2 linked regions of the Macaca fascicularis genome follow. The protein of the gene in region 2 purifies or fractionates together with the protein of the main gene of each other region. This does not show direct contact. Links are inferred from orthologs where the notes say so. Each region holds a gene or a part of one and is shown on either strand. Other genes may lie near its edges.

The links. The genes of interacting proteins can lie anywhere in the genome.
Region 1: the proteins of PSME1 (region 2) and PSMA6 purify together in Homo sapiens (affinity purification with western blotting; 5 studies listed by BioGRID and IntAct, with this or other methods). This does not show direct contact. The link is inferred for Macaca fascicularis from reciprocal best matches to the Homo sapiens genes PSME1 and PSMA6.

Annotation. Positions count from the first base shown.
Region 1 is NC_088381.1:103,105,145-103,109,486, reverse strand, and holds the start of PSMA6 (proteasome subunit alpha type-6), read right to left. Parts: upstream 2,929-4,342; 5' UTR 2,856-2,928; coding exon 2,780-2,855; intron 1-2,779. UniProt on the Homo sapiens protein: Component of the 20S core proteasome complex involved in the proteolytic degradation of most intracellular proteins. This complex plays numerous essential roles within the cell by associating with different regulatory particles.
Region 2 is NC_088381.1:91,949,845-91,954,136, reverse strand, and holds PSME1 (proteasome activator complex subunit 1), read right to left. Parts: upstream 2,892-4,292; 5' UTR 2,777-2,891; coding exon 2,738-2,776; intron 2,055-2,737; coding exon 2,022-2,054; intron 1,900-2,021; coding exon 1,837-1,899; intron 1,723-1,836; coding exon 1,612-1,722; intron 1,524-1,611; coding exon 1,478-1,523; intron 1,344-1,477; coding exon 1,246-1,343; intron 997-1,245; coding exon 928-996; intron 850-927; coding exon 782-849; intron 699-781; coding exon 644-698; intron 570-643; coding exon 483-569; intron 310-482; coding exon 229-309; 3' UTR 83-228; downstream 1-82. Other genes in the region: EMC9 (ER membrane protein complex subunit 9), read left to right, coding at 1-35. UniProt on the Homo sapiens protein: Implicated in immunoproteasome assembly and required for efficient antigen processing. The PA28 activator complex enhances the generation of class I binding peptides by altering the cleavage pattern of the proteasome.

The DNA.
Region 1 (4,342 bases), about 11 Mb from region 2:
CTAATTTTTGTATTTTTAGTAGAGACGGGTTTTCACCACATTGGCCAGGCTGTTCTCAAACTCCTGACCTCAGGTGATCCGCCCACCTCAGCCTCCCAAAGTGTTAGGATTACAGGCGTGAGCCACCGCGCCCGGCGCTAATTTTTTGTATTTTTAGTAGAGACAGAGTTTCACCATGTTGGTCAGGCTGGTCTTCAACTCCTAACCTCAGCCCACCTCGGTCTCCCAAAGTGCTGGGATTATAGGCTTGAGGCACCGCACCTGGCCAAGCATTATAACTTTAAATGTATACCTCTATTTTTTGATATATCAACTTCAGACATTTATCTTTTGAGTCCCAAGTATGGAAGATAAGGAGCATACTTACCATTCATTAATCTCCCCTCACCATCATCCCATTTTAAAAATATTATTTTCCTACTGTCAATGTTAACAACTTGCATTCTGTAATCCTTCCATGCTTTGTCTTTGGAGGATTCTAAAGTTTATAAACAGACAGTATTGAGAATATTATGATTATGTATATATTTTACTGGAGAACTAAGCATGGAGGGACCCATAAAAAGGGAAATATTCCATACAGATGTGCCAATCTAATAGGCCGAAAAACAAAGTGGGCCAAAGAATCAAACAAGCATCTAATAACATTCACTGAGCAATGCAGCAGGCACACGTTAAGCACTCTACATACATTGCCTTATTTAATCCTCAAAACCACCATTTAAGGAAGAATGATTATGAGCACAACTTTGGAAAGAGAAACTAAGGCTAAGGTTACATGCCTGGCAAGTGCCTGTATCAGCTAGCATGGAGCAGGGCAGAGATTTGAATCCAGGCATGACTCCAGGGCCTGAACTCTTCACCACTAAACTGCTTGTTCATACTAGTCTTTCACTTTCTTTTTCCTAACAATGTCTAATTAATGCCCTGAATAGCAGAGGGAGTATGTTATTCACAGAGATTAAAATAATTCTGTCTAGGCCGGTGCTAGACCGGGTGCTCATGCCTGTAATCCCAGCTCTTTGGGAGGCTGAGGTGGGTAGATCACCTGAGGTCGGGAGTTCGAGATCAACATGGAGAAGCCTTGTCTCTACTAAAAATACAAAATTAGCCAGGCGTCGTGGCTCATGCCTGTAATCCCAGTACTTAAGAGGTTGAGGCAGGAGAATTGCTTGAACCCGGGCGGCGGGGGTTGCAGTGAGCCGAGATTGCGCCATTACACTCCAGCCTAGGCAACAAGAGTGAAGAAGTTCCGTCTCAAAGTCTCAAAAAAAAAAAAAAAAAAAAAAAAAATTCTGTCTAGATAATGAACTTGTTTTCAGATAGATGTTCTCTTCCAAATCTTTTAAAACTATCACAATGACACTGTGTACAGCCTTTCTACTCACCAAATCTGGGAAGCATTAACGATTATGCTTTATGGCTGGATTTCACAATACAGTATACAGAAATAAAGTATAGGTCTCGGAGTGACTTTTCCTGTTCACACATTAAAAATCACGAATAGAACACTGAAAGCAGTAGTCTGATATATGAAAATTATTTAAAACTCAGGAATTTAACACAATAAGCGAAAATTCCTTGAGGATACAGTTATCTCTTTGTTCTATCCTTAATCATGTTTTTCAATTGGGGATAAATTAAAAGGGCTATTGAATTATCCAACATGATGATGTTTCTTGCTACATTATATACACTATGCAGTAATACACTGAGCAGTTTCATTCCCAGTTATCTTTATTTCTAAAATTTACAGATGAAGAGAACATCATTTACAGACCAATTCGCTCCTTATGATTCCAAGCACAGATGATTATTTTACTGTGCAAGGCACGGAGCCACTAAACTCATTCAAAAATAAAACTATCACGGACCAGATGTAAATCAAGCTCTACTGACACTCAATTCTCTATGGCAGGAGGTCAAGTGTCTGGCTTATAATCATAACCTAAACCTTGACACCATTTCAACGCAACAAAATACATTCCTATTCCGAGTAACTGATAGTTTCTTTCCACTACAGGTGTTCTTCAGTAAACTAGTACACAGAACCTCATCTACAACTCAGAACCGGCATTTAAATTACTGGAGCATTCAAACAGATGTGGGTAAAAAGGGGATGCCAATTTCAAGACCAGCTCTAGAATCGAGAGTCACTCATTCTATCAGTTTCCCAAAGATGTCTTGAACTCTGTAGATATTTGTAAATTGGCACTTCTAATTTTTGTTATCCGTTTGTTAACGTATCTGACACTCTAAGCTGTGAGCTTCAGTATGGAAGAGGGGTAACATTCATCTTTGTATCTCCTAGGACTAGCAGTGTCTGGTACACAGCAGGCTCCGAATGCCTGTGTGGAATAAACCACAGGAAGTCCACGCTGCAAACAAAGGAAAACGGAGAGGAGGCATTTTAATTGAGACGTTAAGAAATAAATTACCCTTTAGAAACAGGCCTTGTGCCTCGCCAGCACAGAGTGCAATAAGTGAAGGGGCCTCAGGAAGCCGGAGTAAGGCATTACAGCCCTACCTTCCTTAACTCTCCATTGGGTCTAGACAGTGTGGCCTCTCGCCCTGCAGAGAGCCAGGCCTTCAGGCCCCCGATCCCTGCGTCCAGACGCGTGTGCAAATACCACAGAGCTCAATCCAGCCTCAGCCGTTCTCCCTTCCCAGCTCCGGCTCAGCTCCGGCCCCAGACTAAACTCGGGCCGCGTCTGCTCGCTCCAGGCCGTACTATGACAGGGCAATTCAGGTGGACCACAGGCGAACCTGGTTCACTCACCTACTTGGTAGAGCCGACCCTCGGGTGAAAAAATAGTAATGTGGCGGTCAAAACCGGCGCTGGAACCACGGGACATCTTGGTAGAAGCACTACTTCAAACACAATCCCTGGGTCCCGTAGCTCCCGCACCAGGCGTACAAGCACCTCCCGGAAGTTGCAGCGACTGCTTCCGGGGTATCAGCCGCATTTCTTCCGCTCTTGCACGCCAAACTCATGGCTCTGGAGACAGTTCAAGTGCTGAGCTCTGAGGCCCCGCCCCCAACGGGGGTGGTGGATGGAGGGCGGGGTGACTTCCAAGGTGTGCGCCTGCGCCAAGCCGGCCTCTTGAGTGGATTGAAGAGGTGAAACTTGGGTCGTGGCAGTTTCAGGCTTTCATCTGGAGAATGAATTGACAATAGCAAGGACGAAAAGCCTTCCTGGGGGCCCAGAATAGTGATTTGGCTATCAATGTGACCTAAATAGTCCGTGTAATTAACAAGTCTCTTACATGCATCATGTGTCTGATCAGACTGCTGGCTTGCCTTCTTCCTAACCTCTTTTACCCTCCACTTTGGTTCCTATTACGGGGGAAACAGATTGCAGCTGCAGTAGCTGCAGCAGCTGCAGCTGTTAAATTTAGGCACTGAAGGAAGCGGGTTCAAGTAGCCGCTGGAAAGAACATTATTTTCTGACAGCCAGGCAAGATCTTCCTTTGGCCAGCAGCCCCGACAATTTTTAGTCTTTTTTTTTTTTTTTCGAGACGGAATTTCGCCCTTGTTGCCCAGGCTGGAGTGCAATGGCGCGATCTTGTCTCACTGCAACCTCCCCATCCCGGGTTCAACCGATTCTCCTGTACCAGCCTCCCGAGTAGCTGAGATTACAGGCGTGCGCCACCACGCCCGGCTAATTGTGTATTTTTAGTAGAGGCAGGGTTTCACCATGTTGGTCAGGCAGCTCTCGAACTGCTGAGCCCAAGTGATCCACCTGCCTCGGCCTCCCAAAGTGCTGGGATTACAGGCGTGAGCCACCATGCCCAGCCAACTTTTAGTCTTGAAAGTGGAACTCCAGCCTGGTCAACATAGGAAGGCCCCGTCTCTAAAGAATAAAATAAAATTAGCTGGGCGTGGTGGCGCACGCCAGTAGTCCCAGCTACTCGGGGGGCTAAGGTGGGAGGATGGCTTGAGCTCAGGAGATCCAGGCTGCAGTGAGCTATGATCACGCCACTGCACTCCAGCCTGGGCGACAGAGGAAGATCTATCTCAAAAAAAAAAAAAAAAAAAAAAAAAAAGAAAGAAAAGAAAGTGGAACTGAGGTTGAAATACGGGTAATGGGGAATGAGGTTAAGCACCCTTGATTAATACTGAACTAAAGCTGAAGAGATGGGGCTTATGGCAGCTAGTGTCGCATGGATTAATGAGAGTAATTCCAAGCTGGCGAGGTAGCTCCCAGAGAACAGCAGGTGGCTTTTCAAATCGCAAATTTGTGCCTCTTTTGACTTTCCCCAAGGCACACTCCTATTTAATGAATATAAAATGCAAAACATAATGTTAGAATAGTTGTTTTTCTCCCCAGATACAGATGGTT
Region 2 (4,292 bases):
GGGTTGGTCCCACTAATGGAAATGGAAATGCCTGAGCCAGGGCCAGCAGGGTCCAGATCCAATAAAGAGACTTGGGCTGATGGGCAGTGGTATAACTATATTTATTGTGCCTGGGAGGCAAGATGAGGGAAAAATCTCAACAGAAGCAAGTTTGGGGAAAATCTGGAGTCCCCAGTAAAAAGTAGGAAGGTCTCTGCTGTACCCATCCCAGAATGGGAGAGAGGGCTCTCAATAGATCATTCCCTTTGTTTCTCCCCTGGGCTTCTTGAGCTTCTCGAAGTTCTTCAGGATGATGTCATATAACACAGCCTACAGGGCCAGGGAGGAGTGGAGGTCAGTCAGAGGCCTCCAGTGGCTCTGTGCCCCATTTCTAGCCTTGTGGAGAAGCTGCGCTTTGTCACCCTTTACCCCCAGCCTGCAGGGTCAGGGAGTGCGTGGCCTGGGAAAGCTGCCTCTGCCCACCCCTGCCCTCGCCTCCTCACATAAGCATTGCGGATCTCCATGACCATCAGCCGGATGTCCCGGTACTCTGCCTCATCCAGCTCGTGCACCAGCTGCCGATAATCACCCTGTGGGAAGCTCGGGTCAGGCCTGACCTTACATGAGTCCTTCCCTCATGCACCCTGACCTGGGCCTCACCTACCACATGGGGCTGCTTGGCTGCTTTAGTCACTGCATCACCACGCTCAGAGAAATACCTGTGGAAGGAGAAGTGTGTATGGAGTAGAAGAAGGAGGTCTCTGTCCCAAAACAGACAGTGTGTACATGGGTGGTCACTCACTTAGAGATTTGGGTGTGGAAGCCTTCTAGCTTGGTGTGGAGGCTGGTCATCAGCTCAAACACCTTCTCCTAGGGAAAAAAAGCAAGGGGGAAAGTAGAAGGAAGCATGGACTAGAAAAGAGCAGGGAAGTGGGGCAGCACTCTCACCTGGACAGCCACTCCAAAATTGTTACCATCCTCAATCCGAGGTATCTGCAGCTGCAACCAGGTGGTGACCTGGGAAGAGGGAATGGCGTAATGCCACATCAGCCCTCTATCCAATTCCGTTTCATATTCTCCCTTGCTTCCCTCCCCACACTGGCTGGAGGCATGCCAGGTCTCTCCTGAGCCTCAGAGCCCGGACTTCTGGTTTCACTTGCTGTGCCCTCTCTTGCTAAAACCTGGCATGTGCCAGGCCCTAAATGGCAGGGACTAAGAGGACAATGGTTTGACTTAAAGCCTGAGAGTTGAAGGGGGAGAGCCTACCAGGTTGAGCTGCTCAATGACATCCTTGATCTCAGGCTTCAAGCGCTGCAGAAGGACCAAGATCTTTTCATTGCAGTTCACTGGACCACAGGGAGGACCTAGAGAGTGAGCAATGGGTCAGTCACATGATTGAGCCTGTGTGAGGGTTGAAGGGGAGAGTAGAAAGAAATCCTTAGGAGTAGCTCCTGTGGGTGGGACTCAAGTCTCTTCCCACAATTGTGGTTTCAAGTACCTTTGTCTTCATCCTCCCCCTTCTTCTTTTCATCCTTGTCTTCCTTCTGCAGAAAAAGAGGGGCTCATGAGAGTCAGGACTAAGGTTGATTACCCCCATGGTTGGATCCCTTCTCCCAGGTCTTCCCAGCTTGCCTCCTGCTGTTTCTTCCGTTCCTCTTTCTCTTTCTCCTTGACTGGATCAGGCACTGGGATGTCCAACGGGGCCTTCAGATTGCTCAGGTTGGCTTCATTGAGAGCTGGCTCCTGGTGTAGGGTGGGAGGAGGGCTGGAGGTGAGGGGGTTCCTTTCACCTCACTCTCACAGCCCCTGACCCTTCTCTTGGCCTTTACTCCCTAGCTCCCTGCCCAGCTGCGGTACCTTTAAAAATGCATCCAGCTCAGAAATCTTCTTGGGGAAATAGCTCCCGAGCAGGTTCTCTGTCTGTGTGTGAGGTGGGATGGAGAAGGATGGGAGTCAGCATCATATGCCCATCCTAGGTGGTGAGGCAGGGTTGAGCAGTAGGAGTTGGGCAGGGGTGGGGCCGCTGATGGGGCATGTCTTACCTTGGTACAGAGGTCTTCACGAAACACATCCACCTGTGGGGCACATGCATCCCTTCAGAAACTTGGCTTTAAGGCCAGTTCATTTGAGGACAGTTCCCTTAGGGTTATGTAGGGCCTGACCTGGGGAAGGGTGGAGGGGATCCCTCTAAGGCCAGACCTGAAGAAAGCGAGATGGATGCCTGTGGGGTGGGTTGGGGTGGTGGAGGAGTGGAACTCTGCAGACCTGGATCTACGGAGAGTGGAATGGGTATCCCTAGGGCTGGATACGGGGGATGAGAACATTCCTGGCAGTGAAGGGCCAGTGGTTCACGTGAGACCAGATCCCTGGGGTCGCCTGGCAGGTGTGAGGAGGGGTGCTGAGAGCCCTCTGCGAGCAGGACAGGGACGGGGTGGGCCCCGGGACCCTCCCTAAGGGAAAGGCCACGAGGTAGCTGGGGCAGTCCCGCATCCAGTCTGTGTGTGGCCCCGGCTCCAGGCCAGCGGAGTTCCCCTCCACGCCAGCTCTCCGCTTCACCTCACCCCACAGAACCACGGCCGCCTCGCCTGTCCCCGCAGGCAGCAGTCACCGCCCTCCCCGGGGCGCAGGTGCTCCGGGAGCGCCAGCTCGGCGGACTGCCCCTGACTTGTGTGGGAGTCTGGGGGGCGGGTCGGGGATGCCCCCGGCCGCTCGAGCCACGCCTCCCCAGTGGGCCTTTTCTAGACCCCGCGGCGCTCACCTTGGCTTGGGCCTCGGGCTGAACCCTGAGCGTGGCCATGACCGGGACGGGGGGCCTAGCGCCGCACGAGGAACGGAGTGGGCACCGCGAAGGGAAAGCGAAAGCGGCGCTCGCACCACTCACGGCCTTCCTGGGTAGTGGGGCGGGGAGGGCTGGAGGAGGCGGGGTCAGCCCGGCCAGGGAGAGGTGCAGTGCAGCAGAGGAGGGCGGCGGGTGCGGCTCCCCCTAGCGCGCACAGGCTGCCTCGCGAGGGCCAGTTTCCAGCCTCCCCACCCCCGCCGGCCGGGTCCCCGCCTCCCCGCCCTCCTCTCGTCCCCGCCTCCCGCCTCCCGCCTCCCGCCTCCCGCCTCCCGCCTCCCGCCTCCCGCCTCCCGCCTCTCGCCACTCGCCGCCCGCCGTCCGAGGACGCCGGGTCCTCCCATCGTCTAGTCTAAGCCAGTCTCTCCGCGCCCCGCCCTCCACCTTCCGCCTCCCAACTGGCTCCCCACCTGCTCTCTTCTTCCCCTGCTCCGCCTGGGACAGATAAGTCTTACTTAGGGCTCTTCTGTCTTTCCCCAGAGATGGAATAAGACCTGGCCTCTCTTTCCTAGCCTTGCTAGCGTGGGCCTCTGGCTCTGCCGACATCCTCCGCACCTGTAGCAACACCGGCACCAGAGCCGACAGCATCCCTATCCAAGCCCGGACCAGCTCTCTCCTGGACCACCGCGGCATATGCCATTCTACAGCCCACTCTCACAGAGCAGCGGGTTCATGCCTCTGTCTGGCTTAAAACCCTTTCTCAGCTGCCTGTTGACCTTAGAATGAAATCCAAAAGGCTGTTGCAGCTGTCTCCCCTTTAAGTTCACTTTCTACTACTTGCCCCTTCATTCATTACACTTGCAAATACTCGGGCTATTTGTTTCCCAAATGTGTCATGTTCATTCCTGCCTCAGGGCCTTTGCCCTTGCTAATAATCCCTTTGTCTAAAACACACTTACCCTGGGTGTTGTCATTCGGTTCTCAGTTTAGATGTCACCTCTTCAGAGACAACTATTTTCATCATCCTCTATAAGGAACCTCCCTCCAAATGCATTACAAATCAGCCTGTTTTAGTACATTCATAGCATTTATCTCTGATATTAGCCCGGTTTTTTTTTTTTTCTCCCCAGGATAATTCACTGATTTAAACTAGCAAACTGTGTGTGTGTGTGTGTGTGTGTGTGTGTTGGGGGACAGAGTCTCACTCTGTCGCCCAGGGTGGAGTGCAGTGGCACAATCTCAGCTTACTGCAACCTCCACCTGCTGGGTTCAAGCGATTCTCCTGCTTCAGCCTTCGCAGTAGCTGGGACTACAGGCGCGTCCCACCACGCTCGGCTATTTTTGTATTTTTAGTAGAGATGGGGTTTCACCATGTTAGCCAGGATGGACTCGATATGCTGACCTCGTGATCCGCCCGCCTCGGCCTCCCAAAGTGCTGGGATTACAGGCATGAGCCACTGCGTCTGGCCAGCTTTTTCTATAAAGAGCCAGAGAGTAAATTGTAGGCTTTATGGGCCTTACAGTGTCTGTCTACTCA